2 linked regions of the Stegostoma tigrinum genome follow. The protein of the gene in region 1 binds, or shares a complex with, the protein of each later gene. Links are inferred from orthologs where the notes say so. Each region holds a gene or a part of one and is shown in the gene's direction. Other genes may lie near its edges.

Region 1 (7,803 bases):
GCAGTGGAAATGTGCAAGTCCGTGAGGAAGGGCATCTTCACCCTCATTTACAAGAGGAAGGGGGAGAGGGAAGAAATTAAGAATTGGCATCCCATTTCACTATTGTACGTGGACTACAAAATCCTGGCCAAGGTCATAGCCAACCGGGTCAGGTCTGTCCTGGACTCGGTGATTCACCCTGACCAAACCTGTGCTGTGCCGGGCAGGAAGATCGCTGAGAGCCTTGCGCTCATCAGGGATACGATTGCCTACGTACAGGACAGGCGGGTGGACACCTGCCTCGTCAGCCTGGACCAGGAGAAGGCCTTTGACAGGGTCTCTCATGCTTACATGAGGGACGTCCTCTCCAAATTGGGGTTCGGGGAGGGGATCCGCAATTGGATCCGGCTGCTCTACACCAACATTGTTAGTGCAGTCTCGATCAACGGGTGGGAATTGGACATTTTTCCCGTCAGATATGGAGTCAGGCAGGGCTGCCCGCTCTCTCCTGCCTTGTTCGTGTGCTGTGTGAAGCCCTTCGCCGCATCCATCAGGAAGAACGTGAGCCTGAAGGGTGTGACTATCCCGGGCAGCGGAGGCCTTCAGGTCAAGACCTCCCTGTACGTGGACGATGTCGCCGTCTTCTGTACCGATCGTCGGTCGGTGAGTAGGCTGTTGGACATCTGTGGCCAGTTTGAACTGGCCTCAGGTGCCAAAGTCAACAGTGGTAAGAGCGAGGCTATGTTCTTCGGGAACTGGGACGACCGCTCCTTCATCCCCTTCACCGTCAGGACAGACTACCTGAAGGTGCTGGGTGTTTGGTTCGGTGGAGCTGGGGCATGCACTAAGACCTGGGAGGAGCATATCACCAAGTTGAAGCAGAAGCTGGGAAGGTGGACGCTCCGGTCCCTCTCCATCACGGGTAAGAACCTGGTTGTCAGGTGCGAGGGGCTTTCGGTACTGTTGTATGTGGCGCAGGCCTGGCCTATTCCCTGGACCTGCGCCGCTGCGGTCACCCGGGCCATCTTCCACTTCATTTGGGGGTCGAGGATGGACCAGATCCACAGGGACACCATGTACAAAGACCTGGAAAATGGGGGAAAGGGCTTACCGAATGCCACCCTCGCCCTGATGGCTACCTTTGTGTGCGGCTGCATCGAACTGTGCGTAGATCCTCAGTACGCAAACACCAAGTGTCACTACTTACTGAGGTTCTACCTGTCCCCGATGTTGCGAAGGATGGGCCTGGCCTCGTTGCTGCGGAACGCTCCGAGTAGTTGGATCATCCCGTACCACCTGTCCTTCGTGGAGAAATTTTTGAAAGGAAACACCTTTACCACAAGGCTGTCAGGCAGTGGTCAGCACGTAGTATTCTTGAGACCCTTCGGGAAAAGGAGAGGGTGGATCCCGTCATGTGGTTCCCCACGCAGACTGCCAAAGTCGTTTGGGAGAATGCCTCATCGCCAGAACTTTCCAACAAGCACAAGGACATTGCTTGGCTGGCAGTGAGAGGGGGTCTGCCAGTGATATCTTTTATGCATGCCTGGAATCTCTGCACCACCGCACACTGCCCTTGAGGCGGCTGCGGGGGCGACGAGACTGTCTGTGCAGGAGGTCTGGAGGGGGATGCAGTGGTATTTGTCGAGGTTCGTCCCGAGCAGCTCCGTGACGCGGGACTCCGTGCTCTACGGGCTGTTTCCCGGGACGCACACCGAGACCAACATCAACTGCGCCTGGAGGACCATCAATGCAGTGAAAGATGCTCTTTGGTCTGCCCGCAACTTATTGGTCTGCCAGCTGAAAGAACTGACCCCGACCGAGCGTTGCAGACTGGCACACTCCAAGGTCCAGGACTACGTGCTGAGGGATGCGCTAAATCTTGGGGCAGCTGCTGGCAAGACACGGTGGGGAAAGACCACCGTATGAAACCCCTCGTCCAGAATAGAAACAAGGGCCCTATCTGGTAACTGGGTCCAGCTGGCGCCTTCCCCAACTGGTCAGGGGGCCAACGGGGACTGTGCGGGGAGACGACTGCCGGGGTATTTTCTTTGCTTAGTTTTTTTTTTCCTTTGTTTTGTTTTTTCCTTTTAGTTGGTGCACGTACCCCCTGGGTAACCCGGAGCAGCTTGTATGACTGGGTAGGTGTATAAATGTTTTATTTTTTGTATGTTCTATGAATAAAGTATATTTTTTCAAATCAATTAAAAAAAAGTGACGAAACGTCTGAAAACTAACCTTCCAGCTCAGCGAGCAAACTCACATCTACATTCTTTTCATTTGGAAATAAAAGATCCCATCACTATGACAATTAATATTAATGTATTTCTGACCACTATTCCCTTGTCAATGAGGTATCCTCTCAAATTTTCTACACCAAGGACTGAGTTCCAATTAGAAAAGAAATTTCAGAAGAATGGTGTTCGACATATTCTTATGCTTGGATCCTTGGCAAGATCCCCCAACTTGTTATGGTTCCAGACAGTTTGTACAATTTGTTAAGCCCGTAGGTGAAGTAGAAGCAGACAGGGGAAAATTAACTGCCTTTTCCTTTTTTATTCACCCAAGCCATGTTGGTCTCAACATGTTTAATTTAAAAGCAAATCTTCTCTCTTGTAGATGCCTTTCTCCCAGATCCAAATGAACCTGCGTTTTCAAAGCAAGAATTTGTAACAGCACACAGGTTAGAAAAAAAGTGAGATCTAAAAGATAAAATTTTTTAAAAGCAGATACAGCAAACTTTGTACTAACTAGCATCCTACAAACCAACACTTGATAAAACGGCAAAAATTACATAACTGAAATTAACTGTATTATCGTGATCCTCACAATGCCTGAGTAGACACATAATGGGCATTGACACCCGACATTACATTTCAATCACTAAGTGTGTGTTTTTACATTGATTAGATGAACCTCTTGATCAACCAGAATATTTGATTAATCTGCATACTCCTGGTCCCATGGGTTCTGCTTAATAAGTTTACTGTATTCAGATCTGTCTCCTAATTGTTCCCAAAACGTTGAATAATATGGCTGTGACAGTGGGGTTTATTGGCAACACTGACACTGGAAGTTGAAGAGTTGGTTTCAAGTCTTACATTTGCATGTTGATTAAAATCCTGTATTTCTGATTCCTTTTGATTGTGGATGAATGACGGCATTCAGGGTGATATAGTCCTTCTGTTGTCTTTTCAAACTTTTCTCTGGCTACCCAGCTACTGGTAATGAGCACTCAGATTAAGAGGTTCCCTTTACCTGCAATGATTAAACTAGACAATGATTGCAAAGCAAGATAACAAAGTGTGGAGCTGGATGAACACAGCAGGCCCAGCAGCATCTCAGGAGCACAAAATCTGACGTTTCGGGCCTAGATCCTTTGTCAGAGAGGGGGATGGGGAGAGGGTTCTGAAATAAATAGGGAGAGATGGGGAGACGGACCGAAGATGGAGAGGGGAGAAGATAGGTGGAGAGAAGAGCATAGGTGGGGACGGGATAGGTCAGTCTGGGGAGGACGGACAGGTTAAGGAGGTGGGATGAGGTTAGTAGGTAAGAAATGGAGATGTGGCTTGAGATGGGAGGAAGGGATAGGTGAGAGGAAGAACAGGTTAGGGAGGCAGAGACAGGCTGGGCTGGTTTTGGGATGCAGTGGGCGAAGGAGAGATTTTGAAGCTTGTGAAGTCCACATTGATACCATTGGGCTGCAGGGTTCCCAAGCGGAATATGAGTTGCTGTTTCTGCAACATTCACAAGCTTCAAAATCTCCACTCCCCCCACTGCATCCCAAAACCAGCCCAGCCTGTCTCTGCCTCCCTAACCTGTTCTTCCTCTCACCCATCCCTTCCTCCCACCTCAAGCCGCACCTCCATTTCCTACGTACCATCTCATCCCGCCTCCTTGACCTGTCCGTCCTCCCAGGACTGACCTATTGCCTCCCCCTCTCTCCCTATTTATTTCAGAATCCTCTCCCCCTCCCCCTTTTCTGATGAAGGGTCTAGGCCCGAAACGTCAGCTTTTGTGCTCCTGAGATGCTGCTTGGCCTGCTGTGTTCATCCAGCCTCACACTTTATTATCTTGGATTCTCCAGCATCTGCAGTTCCCATTATCCATGATTGCAAAGCACCGACATTCAATTCGAGCTTCGTACACAGGGGAACGTCAGCCCACTGGCACACGAGAACCTAGGTCCTCTGGAGCACATGCTGGCAGAGTGAACAGGCTTTTTACATCCCTGTCTTTGTGTATTCTTGTATGTATGTGAAAAAGGTTAAGGTTCCCTTTCCACCTTTAAGTGCGACATTCCATGGCTATCCTTCTCTCCAGTCAGTCAATTAATTTACATCTGCAGCTACTTATGGCCCTATGGATTGCCTCTCTTTTAAAATCCACTTCGGAATTATGAGCTAAAAATATTAACAGTACTTTAGGTTGGGACCCGTGGTCATGACAATATGAATACGTCCTACCCAGCAGTGCTAGTTTTGAGCGATCAGTGTCTTAGTGCCGGGTATACTAGTTTGGGAGATAACACTTGTAATTTGGACCACTTTCCTTACTACTCACGCAGCGGTGAAACTCCTCTCCAGCGCCTTTAGGCGGCGCCTCTGGCTGGAGGCCGCAGCCTTCGGTAACCAAGCGCGGGAAGATGACGCGGGTAGAGCTCACGCGCCACAGCAGCCGTCCAATCAGGCGTTCCGGAGGGGGTCAGGGGTGAAAGGTTGCGGGAGGCTGCGGACGTCTTTTGCTGGCGGGTGAGAGCGCGCGAGGGACGGGGTGAGAGTGTGGGTGGCCGTTATTCTAATGAGGTGCTCAGTGTCATGGCGGCGGGCTGTGGACGGTTCAGTTCAGGCAGGGCACGGGGCTAGGCCGTCTGCAGAGCCGGGCAACTGACCACCTGAGGGAGCGGGCATTGCCGGAGGGTCAGTGCTGAGGGAGCGGGCACTGCCGGAGGGTCAGTGCTGAGGGAGCGGGCACTGTCGGAGGGTCAGTGCTGAGGGAGCGGGCACTGTCGGAGGGTCAGTGCTGAGGGAGCGCGGTAACACTAGATGGCCATTGTACGGTTGTTTAGCAGCCCAGAGAGACAGTGACGCATTTTCGGAGGGGCAAATTTGGATTACGGCGTCTTTCATCTGTCATGTTCAATGCCACAGTTTTCCAGTACAGAAAATAGGGTCTATCCTTGATGTCCTATTCAATATGTATCTCTGTACCAGCATCTTTGGTTATTTATCCCGTTGGTGTTTGTGGGAGTTTGCTGTGATGGTTGCACTTCTTTGTCTGAAAAGTCCCATGGAATTTTTGGAGATTGTGTAGACTGTTAAATAAATATCTGCCTTGTTTTTGTTTGGGCCAGCTTTTCAATGTAGAATCACTACCAAGGTTAATGAAGATCCAATGTAAAGTTCCTATACAGTGTTGGGCTGCATGAATTGTAACTACTGTTGAGGCTTTGAGTGAGCATGGAGATTCATGTGAATTAAATAATATAAACAATAGATCAGAAGAAACATCTTGTATAATGTGGTCACATGGAATTCACTTTCAGAGTTGGTGGCTTAGATAAAATCTAAATCAATATTGATCGTTAGATTGAAAAGTGGATGAAGAGACATGCATGTTAGGTGTCTCAACTTAGATTGAGCAGTGTTTATACTTTTGTTATCCTTTCACTTCCTTGGGCTATCCCAATGTATTTCTCAGTGCATCAGTTATTTTTGAAGTATGTATAGGTCAACAACTAATTTGGAACTGACAAAAAGCAATGGAAGCAGTTAATTTTTTCTCAGTGATGTTTGCTGAGGAAAGTTAACTGTGTCTCTCCGCTCTTCTGTGAACAGTGTCAGGGATCTTGTGCCTGTGTGCGCAGGCAGATGGGTCCTCAGTTTAATGGTTCATTAAGACAATCTTCAGTGCGCCGTGCATACTGCAGTAAAGGTGCTGAAGTAGAGGCCTGTTTCAGTGTATACAGTAGAACATTGGTTGTAAGCAGACAGCAAAAAGTGTTTTTCTTTTTAACATTTTTTGAGTCATATGTCACAATTATTTTGACAATTCAAAACTAGCTGCTAGTGTATATTTAATTGTCCTTTAAATAATTTAGCTGAATTCTTTTGTATTTTTGTGTTTTTTAAAATTCCCATCTCCCAAATGATTTTTGGATTTGCAAAAGACAACTGTACAAGTACGTTGGCAGCCCTTTGATACCCTGCCCCATGTGTACAGCATCCAGTGTTTCAAATTTGTAACAGATCTGACCCATAGTGAAAAAACCCCAGTACAGAGGCACACCCATGATAAATTTATCCCAGTGCAGTATCCCCACTGCAAAATCCTTCTGAATATGGCATTTTCATGCAGTAGAACCATCCCAGTCTGGAATTCTCTGTATTAAGTGTATCCTCAGTGATATGTGGTAAACTTATACCTGAGACCATCTGGTGATGTGGGGATGTCAATGGAGAGGGTTCAGAGGAGGTTTACCAGGATGCTGTCTGGACTGGAGGGCTTATCTTATGAAGAGAGGTTGACTGAGCTCGGTCTCTTTTCATTGGAGAAAAGGAGGAGGAGAGCGGACCTAATTGAGGTATACAAGGTAATGAGAGGCATAGATAGAGTTGATAGCCAGAGACTATTTCCCAGGGCAGAAATGGCTAGCACGAGGGGTCATAGTTTTAAGCTGGTTGGTGGAAAGTATAGAGGGGATGTCAGAGGCAGGTTCTTTACGCAGAGAGTTGTGAGAGCATGGAATGCGTTGCCAGCAGCAGTTGTGGAAGCAAGGTCATTGGGGTCATTTAAGAGACTGCTGGACATGTATATGGTCACAGAAATTTGAGGGTGCATACATGAGGATCAATGGTCGGCACAACATTGTGGGCTGAAGGGCCTGTTCTGTGCTGTACTGTTCTATGTTCTATGCCCAAACTGCTAAACATGTATTGCTTATGTTACCTTGCATCCAAAGGTTTCCATATTCCTGAGACCTTTGTCCAAGGTATTACATCTTGGCCGGTAGTTTTATGGTAGTTTTGGAGTTGAGGAATGTCTCAGCTGCCCTGGACTTTAACACATCTAACTGAATTGTTTGTGTATTTGTAGTTTATGTGAGAAAGATGGCTGAGAGACCGGAAGACTTGAATCTACCAAATGCAGTCATTACTAGGATTATTAAAGAGGCGGTGAGCGTGAATTAGACAAGCATCTGTAATCACAGATTTTGCGCGGTTGACTCTACTAGATTGTGAACTATATTTTTATGCCTTATGATAACATCTGATAGATAATAAATTTTCCGAATTAAAAAGAAATTCTCACTGCTTAGTTGTTCACTAGTTACTATAAAATGAAGTACTTTTCTTGACAGAATTTTGCCATTTGAAGTTAAAACAATGAATGGATGCTGGAAATCTGAAACAAAAACAAATTACTGGAGAAACTCAGTAGGTCTGGAAGCATAAATAGAGAAAGCAGAGTTGATGTTTTGAGACAAGTGACCCTTCAGAACTGTTTCTATTAGTAAGGATAATTTGAATAAATGCAGCATTTGTTATCTGGAGAAATGATGTGAATAATCAATACAAGGACACACTTTACATTGCTTTTATAATATCACATACAATTTGAAATTGGCTATCAGGGGATGGTCAAGTACCAGAACACACACTTCATTGTTAATGCCCCAGTTAAAATGTAGTAAGTTCCTTAAATTTAAATATAGGCTATTGCAACATGTTGGCTATGTGAATAATAAATAATGTTCTGTTTGGAAATTACTAATGCCCAAAAGCTAGGTTGTCCCTATACCTGAGAACATGCAATTGGATGAATCCA
Region 2 (7,075 bases), on another chromosome or scaffold:
GAAATGACTGCCAGACTACTCAGACCTCTTGGCATCACGGTAGCCCACAAACCCACCAACACACTAAAACAGCAGCTAATGAACTTAAAAGACCCTATACAGACAACAAGCAAAACAAACGTCATTTACAAAATACCTTGCAAGAACTGTGACAAACAGGCAGAAAGCTAGCCACCAGGATACACGAACATCAACTAGGCACAAAAAGACATGATCCACTATCACTAGTATCCTTACATAGAGATGAGGAAGGACACCACTTTGATTGGGACAACACATCCATCCCAGGACAAGCCAAACAGAGACACGCACGAGAATCCCGAGAAGCATGGCATTCCAAGCGGAACTCCATCAACAAACACATTGATTTGGAGCCTATCTACCTTCCTCTGAGAAAAAGAACAGGAAATGACATCACCAACCAAAGGAAACCTAAACAGATAAATAGAAAGCGGGACATAACACCAGCGCTTCACCAGAGGCTCACTGATGATGTTACCTAGAATGGTGACGAAACGTCTGAAAACAAACCTTCCAGCTCAGTGAGCAAACTCACATCCAGAACCTCAACCTGAGCTACAAATCTTCTCAAAACTCGCTGTGTATCACTAAAATAAAACCAAGAACTGCAGTTGCTGGAAAGCTGAAACAAGAACAGAAATTGCAGGAGAATCTCAACAGGTCGAAGGGTCACTAGTCTCAATATATTGACTCTGCTTTCTCTGCACAGAGGTTTTGAAGTTAGATGCCTCAATTACCCTCCTTGGCAGTGCATTTTAGACCTAGATCACCTTCTGAGTGGGGAAGCAACTTTTCTATCTAACCTGTCCATATCCCCGTGATCTTATTCATCTCAGTCATGTTCCTTTTGAAGCTTCTCTGCTCCAAACAACCCAAGCTTATCCAACATCTCTTCACAGCTAAGATGATCCAACCCAGGCAACATGTGGTGTATCTGTTCTGTCCCATCTCAAGTGCAATTGAATCATTCTACAGTGCACTAAACTATGAAGGGAAACTGGCCATCTAGCCAACTGAGCTAGGGCACCAGGGAATTGGCAGACCAAAGTTTTCCGCAAGTTGTTCTGGGGATGTCTGAAAATGTGCCACTCACACCAGTCAGATCTCATCAATACCAGACCTAACATCCACAACAGCTTCATGATCATTTCTAACTATCAAGTGCTGAATCTAACCCTGACAACTGTGGCATGTAGCAAGATCATAGAGACAAAAGCCAAGGAAACTTTACCATACCAGACAGAAACGTTGTCTTCAAATGAAATCTTGTGTATCGCTGATACATTCAAGACCCACAAGCTGATCAATACCATTTATCAGGCTCTTTCAGACAACAATGTCCAAGGGTCAAAGTAGGATTATCTGTCCAACACCGTTTATAACTCTGCACTCACTGCATATGGGAAAATAGATCAGAGAAATGCTGACTAATTGAATTGAAAGCACCAGTTACTGCAACCAAGAAAATAGCCCTCATGAACGACAACCAAGTCGGAGACAAAATCTAAATGATCTGAGAGCAGCCAAAATCAAGTCTGAGCAGGATTTTGGCACTGTGCTAATTAATACTCTGAAACTCTGCACAAGTGTAAAATGTGCTACTGGATCTGGAGACACTGGAGACGTGAATGAATCAAGAAAGCAACAGAGCCAGGAACAACAAATCAACTTCCGTGAACACAAAGACAGGCAGATCATCATTGAACTTGGCAAGCATGTAGAAAGGTAGGTGAAGCACTATCTCAAACTCTTGCAGTGACAATGTTGTGTATTGTATAAAAGCTCTCAGCACTATTCCAGATTTTTCTGTCAGAGATGCTGGACAGCAAACTCACCATCGAAGAGTTCAACAGGACCATTGACTTTCTTGGCAGCAGTAAAGCTCTAGGATGTCATTTCATTCCACCTTATGTCATCCAACTTGAAAAACTAGTACTGCTGCAGGACCTCTATGTAATGTGTCTCTGCTGGAAAGAAAGAGTTCTGTCTCAAGACATGCATTAATACAAAATAGTTTGGGTCAAAAACAAGAAGAATTGTCTTGATTGCACCAATTACCAAGGCATCTCCTCGTGAAATATTGTGGCAAAGATCATTATTGTGGCCAGATTGCAGAGTCTGACATCACATACCTAAACTGAGTCTCACTGTGGTGTCACGATTTTCTGTCTTGGGCAGTTGCAGAATAAGTGCTCCGAAAGTGCAGATCACTCTAAACTGATTTCACACAACTCATCAAGACCTTCAACTTAGTCAACAAAGACGAAGATTCTTAAACTGCAGAAGATTGATTTCTTGGACTCCTTAATTTCTTTCCACAAGAATGTACACACATTTGTCAGTTACAGTGGAGCAATGTTTGGCTTTGAAATCAGCAGCACGGTGAAACAGAACTGCATCCTGACACCAACTCTCTTTAGTATGTTTTCCTCCATGCTACATATTGTACGCTTTCGCTATACAAATGAGGATGTCTATCTGCATGCCAGAGCAGATTGTCTGAATTGATAAGCCTACATGCCAATCCCAAAATGCATAACATCCTAGTTCACGAATTGCTGTTTGTTGATGATGCCTCATTAGCATCCCATCCTGAAGTTAGCTCCAACAGCTTATAAATTGGCTCTCCCAGACACTGCAGAGGGGTTGGATTATAACCTGCATCAGGAAGGTCAAAATCATGCATAGAGTCCATCGTCATCAATATTGACTTCCTCACTTTAGAGATTAGCAACAGCTTCACCTACCCTGAATCAACAATTACCAACCAACGTCTTGATTTCCTTCCGAGTCAATACCAAAACTTCCAAGGCCATCGTCGTCATAAACTGCGAAGGCAATTGTGAAACTAAGAGAAAAGTAATTTGAAGTACAGTCTCACTTGGCTTTTCAGTCATGAAGCATGGAAAATATGTGCAAGCGAAGAAAAGCCATTGAACAGCTTCCTTCCCTGCAATTTTAGAGAAATTTTGGGCATGTCTTACCAAGACAATGCCAAACACAGCAACACCAAGATGCAAGGATCCTCAGCATGTGTCCCCTCTTAGATTGCTGGGTCACCTGAACCAAACGAATGGAACTTCATTTGCACAGACAAACTTTCGGCGAGTTTGCTATCTGCGTGAAGCAACTGGACACCCACATCAACGATACAAAGACGTCAACCTACAAGACCCTAAGTTGACAGGGATCGAAGTAAGCCGAAAGAACTGAAGATCTTTAAATCAGAAACAATACCAGAAATTGCTGGAAAAGTTCGGCAGGCCTGGCAGCAACTGTGCAGAGAAACAGAGGTGATCTTTCGGGTCGAGTGACCCTTCCTCAGAACGGTTTTTGTTTCGGAGTAAGAAAAGTTGTAAAGAGCATGAAAAAAAGCAGAGGACAAAACAAATGACCAAATGGTACAGAAATGATACTGTCTGAAGGAAAACAAATCTGTACGAAAGTGAAACGTTGCAGATGCTGGAAGTCTAAAACAAGAACGAAATGATTGGAAAAACTCCATAATTGAGAGAGAGTTTGAAACGGAAAAACAGAGCCAGAAACAGAATGCGTGAGAGAGACAGCAGGTATTATCGAAAAAGAGAATGAACCAGGGAGATAAAGAAGGAACATTAGGTAGAGTCCGAGAAAGTGTGCGTTGTGGAAAGGAGCATATGGGAAACGGAGGAGTATGTTCTGTTTTTGGTGACAATATTTAGCCTGATTCAATGAGAAGCGAGGCTTTGGCGTCGGAGGGGACAACCAATAGTGATTGTGATGTAGGGACCAAGGCCAATGGGTGGATAGAAATGTGTCGAAATGAGCCAATGGAAGGGCGGATACGTGGTAGGATGAGCCAATAGGTGAGTGGATGTCGGGCGAGATGGGCCAATGGGAGGAAGGTATCGGGTAAGGGGGTGCCAATGGGTGGAGTGGCTGGGTGTGGAGTTCCACCTCTTGTGACGTGAAGAACGTGCCGTTTCGAGTGGGACGCAGGCGCAGCGGCAGAGGGGAAGCAGACGGAGGGAGAAGCCGCGGCTGGCGAGAGGAAGTGGAAGCGGCGCTGGACGGAGCCGGTAGTAGTGGCTGATCGGACTCCCCGGAACACAGCCTTCAAGCTCAGGGAGGAGGGGAAAGAGAGACTTAAAAAGCCGACAAATATTTACCGGCCACTTCCTATCAGCATACGTACACACACCAGGTAAGGCTTTCCCTGTGACTTGAGCGGGTGGTTCCGCGTTTGGGACGCGGGCGGGTGGCGAGGGGAAGCGGGCAAACGGGGTGGTTGGGCAACATATTATCGGTAAAAGAGAGAGCGGCTCTCGAGCACACTGTGGGCCGCGGTTGACTCGTGCTTCCCTGGTCGACAGTAACGGTAAATGATGGGCTTCCGCCGTGGATCCCGGGGACGCGTTTGAAGTTTGTCGGCGAAGTCGTTGTCGTGCCGGTGTTGGATTTGACCGCCCGCAGCTACTCCATGTACTTTGTAATTATTAAGAGTGTGTGTTTCTCTTTCTCTTTGATTCCTCTGGTGCTGCTTGGCGTCTCTTGAACCCCTCTCCGCCAGCGCTGTGCCTGCCCGAGGAAGGGGATGCCGCTTCTCCATCGCAAACCGTTCGTCAGACAAAAACCCCCGGCCGACCTGAAGCCGGACGAAGAAGTTTTCTACTGTCGGATGACCATCGAGATCTTCAGGAATTACGAGTGAGTTGGTGTTTGGCGACGGGGCTTTGGGAGTGGGTCCGCTGAATTTCCTCTGCCGCCGAAGCGGCACAAGGGCGCACTACCTCATTTTCGTTCAAATCGGCAAATTATGATTCGAAAGCAACGTTAACGGCTCCGGGTTTGTCTCCCGGGCTTTGGCGGCGGGCGTGGGGGATGGAAGGAGGACTTTGGTTGCCTTCCACTGCTGTCCACACAGTCTGTTTCTCCCTCTCTCCCTTGTGCCCGTGTGGCGGGCTGTCAAATAACTAATAACTAACTCGTGCCGAATGCGGACTGGAGTAGGCCTTGTGCTGCTGGATAATCTAAATTTATTTAGACACCCCCGGCGGCTGGTATTTTTTTTCCTCGCACACATGCTCGATCCGAGATGTTCCCGTTTACGTCATTTGTATAAACTGTTTTTGGGGGTGTCCGGAGGATGTCGCCTCTATTATTTCCTCGCTTTTGTTTTCTCTGTCTGGGTTTGATTTTTAATGAGCATCTCCGCAGCGAGGATAAGACTTGAGTTTCGTGCGCGACGTGTGGAGAGCGTGGGCTGTTTTGATGCTTATCCGAACATTGTCTCTTTTGTACACGGAGTCAGTGATGGGCCTGGTTTGGAGAAACCGAGCCTGTTTAATTATAAGCATCACAGGCGTACGGAACTTGAAGATATCTTCACACTTTTTATTAGTCGAATGACGAATTAATTCGTGGTTATCTTCTTGCTTTAACTTTTCGAAACCCTGTATAACGTGCGGATTGCAGTTACCTCAAGTGTAATGGAAAAGCACTCCAAGAGCGAGGTGACTGAAACGATTACAAGGCAGGCACTTAATGGAACGCATTACAAACTGGGAATAACTGAATTACCCAATGCTGGAATACATGAAAGTCGCCACATATTTCCAAGCAATAAATTTTTGCCTAATGTTAATGAACACCACCGCTCGTTTTTGTGATGCTCTTGAAGTATTATTGGTTACAGAAATTATTTCTGAGCATTCTAATTCGTTAATATGGTGTGGACCTTGCTGGTAAAGCCAACATTTACATTTCTCACACCACAAAGGGTTCATATGGTGTAGGTACGTGCCAGTGCCATTAGGAAGTTCCAGGATTTGGATCACTTGCTATATTTTTCTTTTAAAGATACAGTATGGTGGAGCTGGACAATCTTGACTTAGAGTCCTGATGAAGGGTCCACTTTCCTGTTTCTCTGCTGCATGACCAGTGTTTCCCCAGCTCAACGCTGTATGGACTCACTTCCAGTATCTGCAGTTATTATTATCGCCTATACAGTAAGGAGTGTTGGTTTAGAGTGGGGACAGGGTTTGGAATCTTGATGGTCTTGCTACCAATCTGCCACTCTTCTAGGTGCTACACCCTGTGCATTTGGAAGTTTCAGTCAAACGCAGTGTGATTCGTTGCTCTGATATATCTCTTATACGAAGCACATGGCTACATCTGAGCATTAGCAGTGGATGGGTTCCTTTGTCCAGTATGATATTGAACAACTTGTTGGAGCTGTGCTTATCTGGACAAGTGACAAGTATTCTTTCACACTCCTGATTTGTGCCCTGCAAATAGGAAGTTAGGTGAGTTACTTCTGCAGGCCTCTGTCTTTGACCTCTCTTACTTATGTGGCTAGTCTGATGGGGAAGTAAAATTTAGCCTTACCTTTTGGTGTTCGTGCTTTGGTGTAAAGAATTGAGAAATATTTCAAAAAATTGCCGTATTTGTATACCTGCCACTTGGTGTCAGTTGATCACTATGAATATCCTGTGTTCATGGAGGTAGATTGTCACACGAGCTAATACAATAGACACCACATGCCAAGAAAAACTGTGTAGTTTGCTGGGCATGTTGTTTTCTATATCTAATGTTGCTCCACAATGAAGGGAAAAATGAGTTTGTGCCTGTAATTCTCTCCATGGATGGCCATCTTGTCACAATGTATCAGTGTATGCTGATTGAAGGCCACCACAATGCTGAGATTTCATGTTCAGAAGGAAATCATTTTAATCTTAGTTGAGTAAGCTATGGACGCATCAAAGAAACTAAATTACCCTTTTAGGGTGTCGCAAGTTAATTCACTAATGTGCCAAGAAATAACCATATTTTATGGACCAGATATTTCTGGAAGTACCATTGAAGTTTAAAAAGTCTTGTGCTTGATGTATTTTCTGTCACTGCTGAGATAAAGCATTTTCGATATCGTGCTTAGCTCTCAGTAATTGTGCAATGTAAATACATTTTTTTTTGTTTCTGTTTCTTTAGAAATGTGTTTGAATATAAAAGCAGTAATTGTTTTAAAACTTCATTTAATTTGAGGAATTATAGCTTTCTGGAACAGCAGCTTTATTTT

The links. Proteins that work in one complex are often made in the same cells at the same time.
Region 2: pole3 (region 1) and baz1a share a complex: the UniProt entries of both Homo sapiens proteins name them as parts of the CHRAC ISWI chromatin remodeling complex. The link is inferred for Stegostoma tigrinum from reciprocal best matches to the Homo sapiens genes POLE3 and BAZ1A.

Annotation. Positions count from the first base shown.
Region 1 is NC_081382.1:5,786,619-5,794,421, reverse strand, and holds the start of pole3 (DNA polymerase epsilon subunit 3), read left to right. Parts: upstream 1-4,672; 5' UTR 4,673-4,727; exon of another isoform or gene 4,728-4,749; intron 4,750-4,763; exon of another isoform or gene 4,764-4,959; intron 4,960-7,071; 5' UTR 7,072-7,085; coding exon 7,086-7,151; intron 7,152-7,803. UniProt on the Homo sapiens protein: Accessory component of the DNA polymerase epsilon complex. Participates in DNA repair and in chromosomal DNA replication.
Region 2 is NC_081363.1:58,510,910-58,517,984, forward strand, and holds the start of baz1a (bromodomain adjacent to zinc finger domain protein 1A), read left to right. Parts: upstream 1-3,970; 5' UTR 3,971-4,204; intron 4,205-4,570; 5' UTR 4,571-4,594; coding exon 4,595-4,707; intron 4,708-7,075. UniProt on the Homo sapiens protein: Regulatory subunit of the ATP-dependent ACF-1 and ACF-5 ISWI chromatin remodeling complexes, which form ordered nucleosome arrays on chromatin and slide edge- and center-positioned histone octamers away from their original location on the DNA template to facilitate access to DNA during DNA-templated processes such as DNA replication, transcription, and repair.